Linked DNA regions of Drosophila melanogaster. The protein of the gene in region 2 interacts with the protein of the main gene of each other region in a pairwise test. Each region holds a gene or a part of one and is shown on either strand. Other genes may lie near its edges.

Region 1 (3,264 bases), 7.7 Mb from region 2:
GTCGCACAAATAAAAACGATGCAATTAAAAAGGCGCGCGCGTAGATCCAGTCAGCTGATGATGGTTTCGGATTGGCTGGAGTTGGCCAGAAATATGGCCAAAAAGGGGTGGGGGGGGGGGGGCGGTCATCTCCAGGGGGATCGGATCGGCGACTGGAGACGGCGGCATTCGGGTAAATTTAAATATATTTTTTATATGCACTTTGTTGACTTTTTGCGCTTCGCCGTCGTTTAATACCGCTCGGAATTCAGGAATCGGAATCCGCTGTGCCGAAACTAGTTCGTCGCAGAATTAGTGCAGTAAATATACACAAAAGTAAAATAAAAATAAAAATAAAAACAAAAACACAAGAACATGCATGACTGTGTGCGGGTTAAATATGTATGTACCTGCTTAAATAAGTTTTATTTAGCGTGTTCTATTGAAAGGACAATAAACTCTCGGCGAAACGTCAAGGTCGACCACATCGCATTAGAAGACTGCGGATCGATTCTAATTCAGGTCGCATTTGCGTCTAAACATCTGTATCTGTGTTCTAAAATCAGATATTTGGCTAAGCAAATTGCATTTGACTATTATCACTAATCAAAAACCAAACCTTCTTGAAGCTTACACCTCATATTTATTGTCTCAAATACCTATATTTGTGGTTCACGAATATTAGATGAATACGAGGATGAAATAGGGATAGGTTCTATCCTATCGTCTTGGTGTTCTGGTGAACCCTTCTTGGACATGGCCAGTTGCAACTGTCTAGCAGCAAGGGTATCCACAATAGCAGCCGCCACAGGGTCCACAGGCATAGCATGGTCCGCAGACATTCGGTCCATAGCAGGGTCCACATCCTCCTCCGCATGGTCCGCATGGACCACAGCAGGGTCCGCAGCAAGGTCCGCAGCAGGGTCCACAGGGTCCGCAGCACATGATTAATTCGTAAAAGTTCTGAAGGGAGAAAAGGTACGTTTAAATGATATGCCATAGGAATTTTTTACACATTTTCATTTTTGTAAATTTTCACTTATTTTCACTCACTTTGAACCGAACAAAAAGAAATAATTTGAGACTAGACGACAAATTTTGATGTGTTCAGGCCGAAAGGACAAATAATAATGATACAAAATCTGGTTACGCACAGGTATATCGGTTTGACAAGTCGGACTGAAGAGGCAAAGGATACTATATAAAATATTTTGTTTAAAGCATTGGCTAAAGCTTATAATGATTGTATTGTAAGTAGGGAAATGCTCAATCTTCATGTGAATTAACCTTTATATTTCGATCCTACCTATGTAGTTATCATCCAACTTGGTAGGAACGCATCAAGTTGCCACTATTTTTCCAGTGCACTGTAACATATAAACGAGGTAAATGAGATTTAAATTTTTGTTTTGTCGGATCATGTGTTCATTGCACCCGGCTGAAGTTCGAATCGCTGCCGGTTCTCAAGTCGAGTTCTGCGCTGCACTTTTGTTTACTCTTGATTTTGTCGTACTTTTTGATTAAGTGCATGGCGCATAGCCGATTGCCGATTGCCGAGAATCCGGGTATCGGGGCTGAACGGGTATACTATATATGCAAGTGTATATTAAGTTCATTATCTGACCGAAGACTTGTGTTGCTTATGTTTTTTATTTTGTTTTTTCTTGGTTTTTTTCCCCAGCCGAATCGAGCCAAGAATGTCGTCGCATTGAAAGAGGTCAATCACCAGCGATTGCGCCTTGGATGTCACTCGGTGTAATTGAGCGCAATTTATTTCATTTGCTAACGATTTTACGATTTCGGATTTAATTAACTCCCGAAAAGCAGGAAGCCTAGTGGACCAGTTGACAGAGCTCGCCAGCCTCCAAAATGGAACCCTAGTGTTATACACAATGATTATACAATGATTTGTATTTGTGCATGACTGAGTCAGCCGGAGCATTCGGGCAGAAAAGTATGGGTTGCAAATAAAAAGCGCATAATAGGCGTTTAAATGCAATTTTCTTCGCAAAATGGTCGGGCGAAATATCAAAAATTCGAATTATATGTTTTGCCGCATGTTGATTAGAATGTATGTATGTATTTGTGTGTGTGTCGATCAGCAGAGGCAGAAACCGAAGCAAAAACCCCGTCGTCAAACCGCACAGAAGTCCTCTCCCTTCTAGCAGAAATATTTGGGTAGAATCTCGCATCCGAGGAGACGGACAAGTCCAACTCAAAGTCGTTCTGTTTCGGCACGGTGAAAAATCACTATCATAGAAAAAATATATAGCGTAGTGACGAAAGGCGTCTCAAAGAAATGTGAACAAGAGTAGAGTAAGATATATTAAATACAAATCTAGCTTATATTACAAAGTGTCTAATATAAAGTGAATCAAACTTAGTTACATAAATCTAGTAGCGAACTTAGTGACGAAGCGCGTCTCAATCGAATCGGAAAGCGGTAGCAGATTTTAAATAATTATTTTCTTACCACCTAAATGTGGTTAAATGACTTTCATTGAATTTTTCTCTCTGTGGCTCTCTGGTTTTTTTTTTTCAAACTCGAGATGGATGGAACTCTGGTCAATAATTTTGTGAGGGTGCCGCCAAAAGGGCAGCAGACGCTGCTCTAACTTAGTTTTTTCGTTCATATTTGTGGCTGGCCTTTGTTTGAAATAGATTATTGGCAATACATATGTATACAAATATTTTGTATTTCGTCTGGCGACGGGAGTTCAAGGATTTTTATTGGGTTCAGTGAACCAAATGTCTTTCCTCCGGCCGGAAATATCGAATTCGCTTTAATTATGGCCCCTCGCATCAACTTATTAATATAAGTTTGATGAAAAGTGAAACACAATGGGCACACGCAGATGTCATCATCATCGGCTGGAAAGCGCTGAGTACTGCCAGTCAGCCCAGGGAAATCAATATCCGCCTATCCCTAAGTGTGCGCCATAATGACTTTAGGGGCGTGGCCGTCAATGGGGCCAAAGGTGAGGAGCGACCGAAAGGGTAAACGGCGGATTCAGGTAACCCGAGAAGCCGACGAAAGTGAAGAAAGCACGTGCCGCCCCCTAAAAAGTGGCAGCTGATCGCTAAAAAGGAAAAGTAAGGCGCAGTTCTGAAAGTCGGATATATGTACATACATACATAGTACTCTGATGTTAACTTAAATATTATTTAGATGTCTAAATCAAAGTTGAAGAATGCTGCAGCTCGTTTTCTTGCCGATCAATTTGAAGGTGCACAGAGGAAACCTGAGAATCCAATGGAAAGTGGTAATGGTAGTTCTGGGCACGT
Region 2 (4,944 bases):
AATCCCAGGGCCTTCGAAATGGCAGAGTCCCAGATTTCGAGGGTGCTGCTGGCAAAACGGAAAGCCAAATTCAAAATCAAAACATACCCAAAAACGATACAAGCAGCAGTATAAATATAACATGTGCCTTCAACCACCCACAGGAATCCCGGGCACAGAAAAAACAGAAGATGCGGATGGGAAGTCGAGCTGTTTGCAGGTGTCCTGCCCATCCCCTTTCATTGCCCGTGTACTCGAGCACGGAGTGTTGCACAGAGACACTCGGGGGAACGTGCCTGGTTGGTGTGTCCTGAATTTCCCCCGATTTCAATCAAATCAGACAGCTAACCATCAAAGTGATTGCGGACTCATTGGGTGTGGGGCCGGGGTCTAAGTCAGTTGAGTAATAAATATCCCCACTCACCAGACATATCCTCGCTCTGATCGTCATCCAATCGCTCCTGCATTTCCTCGTCCCTCTCGTAGCTCCACTGCCTGGGATGGCCGAAAGGACCACTTGGCAGCTTGTTGCCCGTGAACTTGTTCGGATCCAGTATGTTCTCTACGGAGAAGGCCAGCCGCTTTGTGGCCGCATCTCGATCACTGGAGGCACTCGTGGAGGCCGAACTCGGATTCGCCGCAGCACTGCTGTTCACCGATCGCGTCAGATCCACTGGGCAGACCTACAAGGATATAGGGGAAAGTAGGGATATAGAATTAAGTAATGAATTCATTGACAGCAATTATTGCTCTTTATTTGCTAGCAATATTCACCACTTTGCATTGAATAAATCCTACGTTTAATTGCCAAACTGATCTTAAAAACTAATTGTTTTGAATAATTTTCTACCTTGTAAAGATGGTTTGTTGCAAAAATGAGTCAAATAATTATTTCGATAACAGCTTTAATTAAGAACCAGTTGCCTTTTCTTGGTAAGTTTTTAAATTGAGTGTTGAAAGGAATACCTTAATCACCGACTGGTAAACTACTTAAAATTTGTGTACCTTAGTTGTCCTAGGTGATATAATTTAGTTAAACTAAAATATAAAAAATATATTTGGAAAAGTATACCAATTATAAATAAAAATCTATAGATATAAATCAAATTCCTCAACATACCACACGCTTAAAAACAAAATGAAAATCTCAAAATCGAGCTATAAACATACAAAAAGGTTAATTTTGGCATATTTTCTCGACCAAGTGTTAATTGGGTTAATTACTCGAACGCAAAATCTAATAAAAAAGCTAATTGAGCAGAACATAAAATCAATTTGTATTAGCCAACGCTAATAAAAGCTACCAATTGTGTGGGCAATAAATATCAACATTAATAATAAATTTGCTATTTAAGTTTTCAAATTTTCACTAACAGCCTTCATTTTAGAACCAGTATTTTAATAAATCCATTTTGTATAATTGGCACACCTTAATATTAAAATCACAAAACATTTAATCTAAACTTTTTCTATATGATTTTACGAAATCCTTGCACTTAGTGCACTGAAATCTAGTTATCTTACCGACGGCGTGCTGTGCGATCCATCGTTGCTGTCCTCGTCGTTGCCATCGACGTTGAGCTCCTCGCTGGTGTCGCTCCTCGCGTATGTGGCTGCTGCAATTTGACGCGAGGTGGCCGCCGCAGCAGCTGCCGCCGCCGCCAGGCCACCCAGCTGTATTCGGAATCCGTAGTCGCTCAAGTCGCGTCCACTGGGCGATCCGGAGCTGGAGTTGGAGATGGAGATGCTGGCATTGGACACGGAGTTCGAGGCGGACGCCAAGGCGGAGGTGCTGGAAGCTTGAGTGGTGCGGGCTGCCACCGCAGCCACCAGCTTAATCCGCTCGAGATCCATGTCCGATGGTGCGGCAACCTGCTGCTGTTGTGGTGGCTGCGAGGAATGTGGCGGATTTTGGGGGGGAGCGATGGGTGGACTCATCTGCTGGTCGGAATGCATGGCCGGGGATGTGGGCGGCGACAGGGGCGAGGTGGCCGGCGAGGGTGGGGCAGTGCTGCTGCTGCTGGGAGCCCTCAAATGAAAGACCGCCGACGGATGCGGATGGGGATGCGGATGAGGGTGTGGATGCGGATGCTGATGCGAATGCGGATGTGCGGGATGCTGGTGATGCTGATGCTGATGATGGTGCATGTGCTGCTGGGCGGCGGCCAGGAACTGCGGATTCTGCAGCAAGTGGGGATGCTGCTGCAGCAGGGCCGCATGAGGATGCTGCAGTGGCTCCGGCCTTGCCAAGTGGCGCACAGCATTCAGTTCCAGGAGCTTTCGCTGCTGGGCTGGCGAGGAGAAGCTTACGGATCCCACCGATGCTGGAGGGGATTGCGAGCGACGTGTATTGCTGTTTGCATTGTGATTAGTTAGACTGTTATTGTTGTTGTGATTGGGCTTCTCCTTATCCTGGGAGTCCTCCTGCAAGGGGCTCAAGCGGCTGAGCAAGCTGCCCGATTCACTGCTCATCTGCTTGAGCCGTTCGAGGGAGTACCTCAGCTCCTGCTCCTGTTTTCCCGCCACCGCTGCGCCATTGGCGCTGATGATGAACTTGGGTATCTTGGCCGCTGGCGGAGTGCTGCCACCGCCTGTGCCGGACACCACACTGTCCGCACTCGCCACATCCGGCGAGGTGTTGGACTTGGGCGAGTCCGGGTTCGAGTTGGGACTCATCAGGCCACCGACGGCTGTGTTTTGGGCTGACGCACTATCGCTGGCCTTTTGCGCCGGCGATTGCAACATGACCATTTTTGGGTCTTTGGATATATTGTCTTGGATTCACTGGGCGTTCACTGAGAGTTCGAGTTCACTGAGTGTTCACTGCGCGTTGCGTGTCTTGTCACCTTGAGGGCAGCCAATCGACTGAATCCGGAGATGCCAATATCCGACGTGGACGCTGCCTATGCTGCCGCTGCTGCCGTCGTCGTCCGACGTCCGATTATCCTGGTCGTAATCCGCGCGCGACGACTCACACGCTCAAGAGCCAGAAGCGTAATGATGAGGGTTGTTTCCGATTTCTCCGAGTTCTTAATCCAACAGATGTGCCGTGTTGTGTGCCTGTGGCAAGTCAATAGCTAAATGCTGATGCTGCTGCTGCTGCTGCTTCTGCTTCTGGTGGTAGTGCTGGTTATGGTGGTGGTGGTGGTGGTGGTGGAGGCAGTTATCGTGGTATGGTGGTGGTTTTTGCTTTGAGTGACTCTCTGTGCGGCGCTCTACACGCCCACCGCTGAGTGGTTCTTTGAGTGGATTGGCTCCTCCCCGCCGTGGCTCTAATCTCTACTAGCATCTAATGATTTAATTTGCCTTCCACTCGTTAGCAAATGTAATGGTCTGTCGCAAGTCTAAGCCACAGAGCGGCAGGATGCGAGCGCGTGAGAAGAGGAGAGGAGAGGAGAGGAGAGGATTCCGGAGTGCTGTTTTACATAGTTCTTCACTCAACTGTAATAGCCACCCGATGGAAACAAAGGCCAGCCATACAGCCACGCAGCTAGCCAGCCAGCTGTCCAGCCATCCGTGCAGCCTTCGCCTCCCGAGGATGTGAGTAATTGTCAAATTATTTAGCGCAAAATTTGTTTGTTTATGCGGTTGGGTGCTTGCGAAATGGATCTCAACTTTTTGCACATTTCTCTCAGTTCTTGTTTTTATTTATTTGTACTATATGTTTTTCTGTTTCATATTTTCGCCAGTTGTGTGTTGAGTTTGCTTTGCTTTTGGCATGCCTGGTTTGTTCTTAGTCATTTATGCATGAATGCTTTGTGCTTTCTTCAGCTTAATTGAATTTTTGAATATTTTCGTGGCCGTAATTATGTTGCTAATTAGTTGGTTTATTTACTTTTCGCTTTTGATTTCTTTCTCTTTTATTATTCGAACGAAAAAAAAACACATCCTTGTGGTTTTTCTCCTTGACACTTCCTATGTAAAACTCAAAGCGTTCGAGGGGGACAGCCACACTATAGCCGTGCTCTTCTGCTCGCACTCTCTCTCTCTCTCTTTCGTCGGGCTTCTTTCTCTCTTACTCCTGCGCCTGCTCGCTCTCGGAAAATTCTTTAAAATTGAACAAAAATTTATATGCGCTTTGGCACAGACGATTTAATATCGCATCCAATTTGCGGTTTATACGCATCGCAGCAGTGGCCTTCAGTGGGGCGGGCTGGGTGGTCGAGGGGTGAATGAATGGATAGCTGGATGCCTGGTTCACTGGGGATAGGCCACTCGGCTCTGGGGGTTTTTCTTCTGATTCGTTTTTGGTTGTGGGGACAATGGGGCGTATAAGTGACATCGTTAAATGGACACCGGGCGCTGCTTAATGAACTCCAACGCTGGAATGTTGGGTGTTAGCTACTGCTTCTATATATCCACTGGCTTCACTTCGCCGCTCGTTAGCAAGGCTCGTCTTCTTCCTTCTATAATTAACCGCAGATCGGGGTGGCGAAGGGAACTCGGATGCTTAATGAGCAGCTTGTTATGCCGTTTTTCGTTTTAATTAGTTTTAAGATGCTGGCCACCAACACCAGAGCGTCGGGCACTCATTTTAATTGGCCCATTGATGGCGGAATCTCGTATATACTATACTCCGCACTCAGCGCATTATCACACTCGGTTGCTCATCCACGACAGTGGGACATCATCCTTTGGCTGGGCCCGTTTCTCGCTGTGTAATAAGTGCTTAACTCTTTACATGCAAAATTAAATGATGCGCATACGCACGGTAAAACCGCAAATTATTTTAATTGCTTGTCTCGTCATTATTCATTATTTAAGTGCGCTCAAACAGCCGACGTATACGGAACACGCTATAGAATGTCCATATACATACATATGTATGTGTGCATGTATGCATAAGTGTGAGTGTGTGAGTGGGCCGGCAAAATTGGCAGTTCGCCAGACGCACACACGAAAGCCGCTGTTTACATAGACATCAAACTTTTGGCGCTGCGGAAAAGCGGAAAATTGCTCTTGCTG
Region 3 (5,281 bases), on a different chromosome or scaffold from region 2:
GTTGCATTTGTTGTTCCATTTGATCACAGGTATTCACTTGCTGAAGCTGCTGACAAGGATACACATTCTGCATCTGCGGCAGAACTTGCTGCTGCATCGACTGCTGCAAATTGTATGCAAATGCTTTGCCAGACTGCTGCTGCTCCTGACACTTGAGACATCCTTTTGGTTTCACATTGGGACAGGGTGGATTTCGTCCACAATTTCGTTGCTGTTGCTGGAAGCAAGATGGTTGCTGCTGCAAGCAAGATGGTTTCTGCTGCAAGCAAGATGGTTTCTGCTGCAAGCAAGATGGTTTCTGTTGAAAGCACGGTTGTTGCTGTTGAAAGCAAGGTTGTTGCTGCTGAGGACAAGATCGTTGCTGTCCAAACCAATTACCATTCTGTTGCTGCGGACAACCCGTGCACTTATTGCACCTCGAAATCGATGGCGGTTCGTTGTTCATGTTATCATTTTCACAATCGAGGCTGAGGAAATGTGCTTCGGTAACCTGGCAAGCGGTGACTATTTCCGCTTCACCCATAATTTGGTGTTCCTCATCGCATATGGTCACGATATTTCCGCAATTGGGGACGTCGGATTGAAACCATTGGCAAGTACCAGGACGATGTCGTGTGGGATACTCTCCTCGAAAGCAGGGAATTATCTTCGAGTTCGATGGCTTCGGTTCCGTTTCTGGTATACATTCTGTGGGCTTTTCTTCCTCTATTATAAAATTGGTTTTCGTTTCCGGTTTCAAGTTCTCATGCGTTTCCGGGATTGAATTATTTGTGTCTTTCACTTCTGTTTGCTTGTTTTCTTCGGTCAAACTCGGAACTCCGGAAGGTATCTTTTCGAACTCTTTTTCTCTGGCCTTGGCGACGGATGCCTCACTAACCAGCTCTGGTATCTTATTGAACTCTTCTTCCCTGCTTTTTGCCTTCACTGTGGGGGATTCATTGCGACGTTTGGCTGAGGCCATCATAGACTGACCAGGAGTCTTTGAATTGGGTGGATCTCCTCCCAACACTGGTTTCACCGGCATACCCGCCTTCAATCGAACCGATGCCTTGGGCTTACTGTGCGACATCAATGGCACAAACTCTGGACTTCCCATCGATCTGCAGACACTTGCCTGCCGGCGACGACGAGGTGTTGGTGGGCAGGATGATCGGGAACGCACGGCTTCCTGTCCAGACGGTAAGCTCTGAGCCAGGGCTCGCACCAGCTGCTGTCCGACTCGATTGCTGTATTGCTCCGATGCTATGTTCCTCCTCGGAGGAGGACTCGCATGACGCCAATAGGGACTGGGCCTGGTTGACTTGACTCCGTCATTGGGCATTTCTTCTTTTTTCCCAAATACAATTTTTTGTCTCAGTTATACAATGCTTCCGTTTAAATTTGTTTTTTGGCGTGACAAAGAATTTTGTAATGTCATTTTTTTGACCAAAACTAAAAAGAGAGTTTTGGTCGACATAAATAGTAAGTTAAATAAACCAAGGAAGTCTTTTTGTTTACAAGGTTTCTCTTATATTCATATCATATTATAATCTGTAAAGAACACATATATGAAGATGGTAGCACCACTTTCAAAACGTTGTTTTATCACAACTGATCATGCAATGATTTTAACAATATAGTCTTAGTTTAGGACATCAAAAATATAAATTGTACCATTTACTTCTACTTTTTTATGATTTTGACTACCGATGTTATGTTTGTGTACTCTTCGTAATTGACCATGAGTGAAGGTGGACTTTTAAACAGAACCAGGAGTTGAAAATGTGCGATCCATGTCGATATTTAAGGAGGTGCATAAGCTGCCATGGCAATGGCTGGTAAGTATAAGAATATAGTTAGTGTCTCAACCCAATTGCATTTATACTCATCCGCAGGTGCTGTCCTCGACCAAGTTGCTGTGAGCGATCTTGTTCCTCTAATATGAGGAATTGTCGCGTCGTGTTTTCTGGGGAGTTCCAAAAGTTTTCGGACATGGTGCCGCCCAGTTTTCTTCTAAAGACGCCAGAGCGCCCAAAGAAAAGGAAACGATCGAAAAGTTGCTCAGCCTGTGGGGACAATTGTAAGGATCCGTGTTTAAACATGGATGCATGTGCGGAGAGTTGTGAGAATCCATGTCAAGATGGTAAGAATGGATGCAAGAATCCTGAAGATTGCGCGCAAGACGATCTAGCTAGAACTGGAGCCTACGGAACAGGCTTTGGCTTCCAACCGGGACAACCGACTATTATTCCGTGTTATGGAACTTACGGACCGACAGGAAATCCAATGATTTTTGGTATCCCGCCACCGACTCAATATGGAGGCTTTGGTGTACCTGGTCCCATAGTTCTACCAGTGGCTCCACCATCCTCGGTAGGTCAGGGTGATCCAAGATCTATTCCAGCGGCAGGTCTACCCACACAGTACACAAATAAGTTTAATCCCTGTACCGGAGAAGTCTACCAATGCGGAGATCGCCAAATGCCACCTGGAAGGCCACAAGGAACGGCGCAAGTACCTTCCTATAATCAATTTATACAGGGTTTAGGCATGAGCTGTGCCCCCAATAGTCAGTATATTCCATTCGATGCAACATTCCAACAACGTCCAATAAATCAAATGCCAGTCACTCCTACCTCAGGAGGAAGTGCACCAGCTTATGGCCGAAATAATCAACCAATGAACTGTGAGCCCAACAATCAGAATTATAGCTATACTGTTCCCCAATCAACGAATCAAGTTCATGTTGGTGCTAACAGATCTGAAGTCTATAACCAGCAGAGTCAAGCCACACATTCAAGGCCAGTTCCCCAATTGGAGTCATCAAAGGGGCAACTGCCTCATGGTAACAACAGATCTAAATCTCCAAATCAACGAAGCCCATCTAGGGGAGATCGATCAGGCAGAGCTTATGCCAATAATAATTTTCCTGAAAATGTTCATGCTAGTCCAGGTGCTCAGAGGTCCAAGTCGCTCAGTCACCGAAATGAGTCGAGGGAAGGTCGTTCCGGAAAACCACAAGCCAGTAGAGCCACAACCAATTATCATTCTAATAGTGGTGGAGATAGAAATGTAGATCATAGGTCCGCGCCCAAGTCAATGGCATCCGCTGGTGAAGTGCGTTCTCGTGATAACAACAGATCGTACGATTCAAGAAATCGTAATAAATCTGTAGGAGCACCTACCAATCGACAACCCGTACTTTATGACCAGCAGAGGGTGGGCATGGGCATTGATCCATCCAATCAGTATTATCCGTACAATGAATGCGCTCCACTTAATGCCACATTTGTCCAAGACCATAATCCTTTTTATGCTCAGCCAGGACATGACGTGAATAGAACGCAAGCAGCAAGTGCACCAAACTTATCGAAGGCAGGACCCAAAAAGGATAAAAATTCGAATAAAGTTCCATCAAGCTTTAAACCATCGAAGGAGAAATCCACTAAATGCTGCTGCACTCGGTTCGATCCCAACAATCAATACTATCCTCATTACGTTTCCGAAGAATCTGATTGTCCACCGGAAGAAAATGTGAACTCTGGAAAAAAGAAGACGCAGGAAAAGAATTGCCTTGAGCTTCTCAGCCGGTGAGTTTAATGTCAGAGTTCGTGAGCTATTACAGCTCTCGAATTAGGCTTACTCAATCCACCATTCGGCACACATCTTTAATCGAACACGAAGTAATGTCTTCCGTATCCATTGCAGCCTCACCGAGTCCTGTCCTCCGTGTGACCTGCAGAAGTGGTGTCACCTCCTGATGCCGAAGGACAAGGACAAGAGCAAAAAGCAAGCGAAACCGTCTGCCAAGAAGAATAAGAAATCGAATGGCTCAAAAGTCAAGAACAAGATGAGCGAGCACAGCAGCAACGAAATAGAAGGTACCGTAGCATCACCACAGGAAACACCAGAAGACGAGGATGCCCACTGCCCGTGTAACTGCAAGAAACCATGTCCAACGCCTCCGACAAAAGAAATGCGCACCTGCGGCTGCTCTGCCAATTTGCCTGAGTGAGTACCCACTTCTGTCCACTTCCATCAAGGAGTAATTAATGCGTTTCGCAGGGAAAACGAAGATCCTCCACCAGCACCCTCGAATCCTCCACCAGCACCCTCGAATCCTCCACCAGTACCCTGCAATCATGCTCCAGCTCCAGTAAATACCTGCTGCATGCCCTGCTCGAACCAATGTCCTTGGTCCTGGTACTATAATCCCTGCACCGGCTGTTACTACTACTGCGCGAATTGCTGCAATGGCTGTCGTAATTGCTGCAATTACTGCTGCAGTCCGTGCGGTTGCTGTTGCAGCAACTCCCCTGCTGCTCAGCTGGAGAAGATTCCTCCGAAGCCGAAGCAAAAGGAAAGGCAAGACAGATCGTCCAATAGCACGCGAAATTCCGGCGGCACGGCTGTGAGTTTGGGAAGCTGTGCTCCGCCTTCTACGTTTGCACCCTGGAAATGCCCAAGGCAAGAGGTTTCAACCATGCCGGGCTATTCTCCGACTGCCTCGCCACACTTCAGCTCTCCATACAGTGGGCGGTGGAAGGCTGGCTGTGTGGATAGTCATCGGAACTATCAACGGAATAACCAAGGTCCTCCTTTCAACATCGGCCGCGTGCACCATGTCTAAATTAAACGTTGAATATTTTTTACATTTTCACACAAGCCTATCTCAAAATAAAGAACATTTTGGAATGCACTTTTCTCTTCCTTTTTAATTGTTTATAATTTAAAAACAGGCATATTTCTACGATTTTCCTTAGTACTTTTTATTAGTTCAAATCGGTATTTTGTTTCTTTTTCATTTTATACACTCTTTTATGTGTTTCTCTCTTTTGTATACCATATACATATATAGATTTTTTCGAAAGTTTTGTGGGCTTTGCTTGTAGAAAAACTTAAAAAGTTTCTTTAAAATATAAATTTCTTGTCATAAAATTAAATACATCTTTAAAGTTGTTTTAGAAAAGACCTAACTAAAAACTATGAACATAGCACATTGTAAACATGTTTGTGTAGTGCAGCCATCAATATTGTATGGTATGTTTATAATATAATAATAGGGGAATATTAGATTGTTAAATAAGAAAATAGGCATTAAAACTACGGAGAAATTCTAGCACATGATATATGGATCTGGGTTCTCCCGCTTCCTCCTTTAAACATAGATTTAAACTGAGTTTGGCTTGCATATTGCCCTTTACGTTATGTAATGTGGTTTGCTTGGTTAGCTTTCGTGTTGTACATATATGTAAACATATATATAATATTATGGTTATCTTACGACTATATGGACTCTTGT

What was found.
Region 1: the proteins of slou (region 2) and Mst87F interact in a two-hybrid assay, tested with the Drosophila melanogaster proteins (one large-scale study listed by BioGRID).
Region 3: the proteins of slou (region 2) and CG17666 interact in a two-hybrid assay, tested with the Drosophila melanogaster proteins (one large-scale study listed by BioGRID).

The regions. Positions count from the first base shown.
Region 1 is NT_033777.3:13,826,547-13,829,810, forward strand, and holds Mst87F (Male-specific RNA 87F), read right to left. Parts: upstream 1,463-3,264; 5' UTR 1,286-1,462; intron 1,141-1,285; exon of another isoform or gene 1,033-1,140; intron 943-1,032; 5' UTR 925-942; coding exon 754-924; 3' UTR 605-753; downstream 1-604.
Region 2 is NT_033777.3:21,554,129-21,559,072, forward strand, and holds the start of slou (slouch), read right to left. Parts: upstream 3,055-4,944; 5' UTR 2,731-3,054; coding exon 1,504-2,730; intron 663-1,503; coding exon 404-662; intron 1-403. UniProt on the Drosophila melanogaster protein: May play a role in specifying the identity of particular somatic muscles and neurons of the CNS.
Region 3 is NT_037436.4:12,779,701-12,784,981, forward strand, and holds CG17666 (uncharacterized protein), read left to right. Parts: upstream 1-1,624; 5' UTR 1,625-1,761; coding exon 1,762-1,817; intron 1,818-1,874; coding exon 1,875-3,569; intron 3,570-3,603; exon of another isoform or gene 3,604-3,687; coding exon 3,688-3,990; intron 3,991-4,044; coding exon 4,045-4,609; 3' UTR 4,610-4,677; downstream 4,678-5,281. Other genes in the region: CG10969 (uncharacterized protein), read right to left, coding at 1-1,321.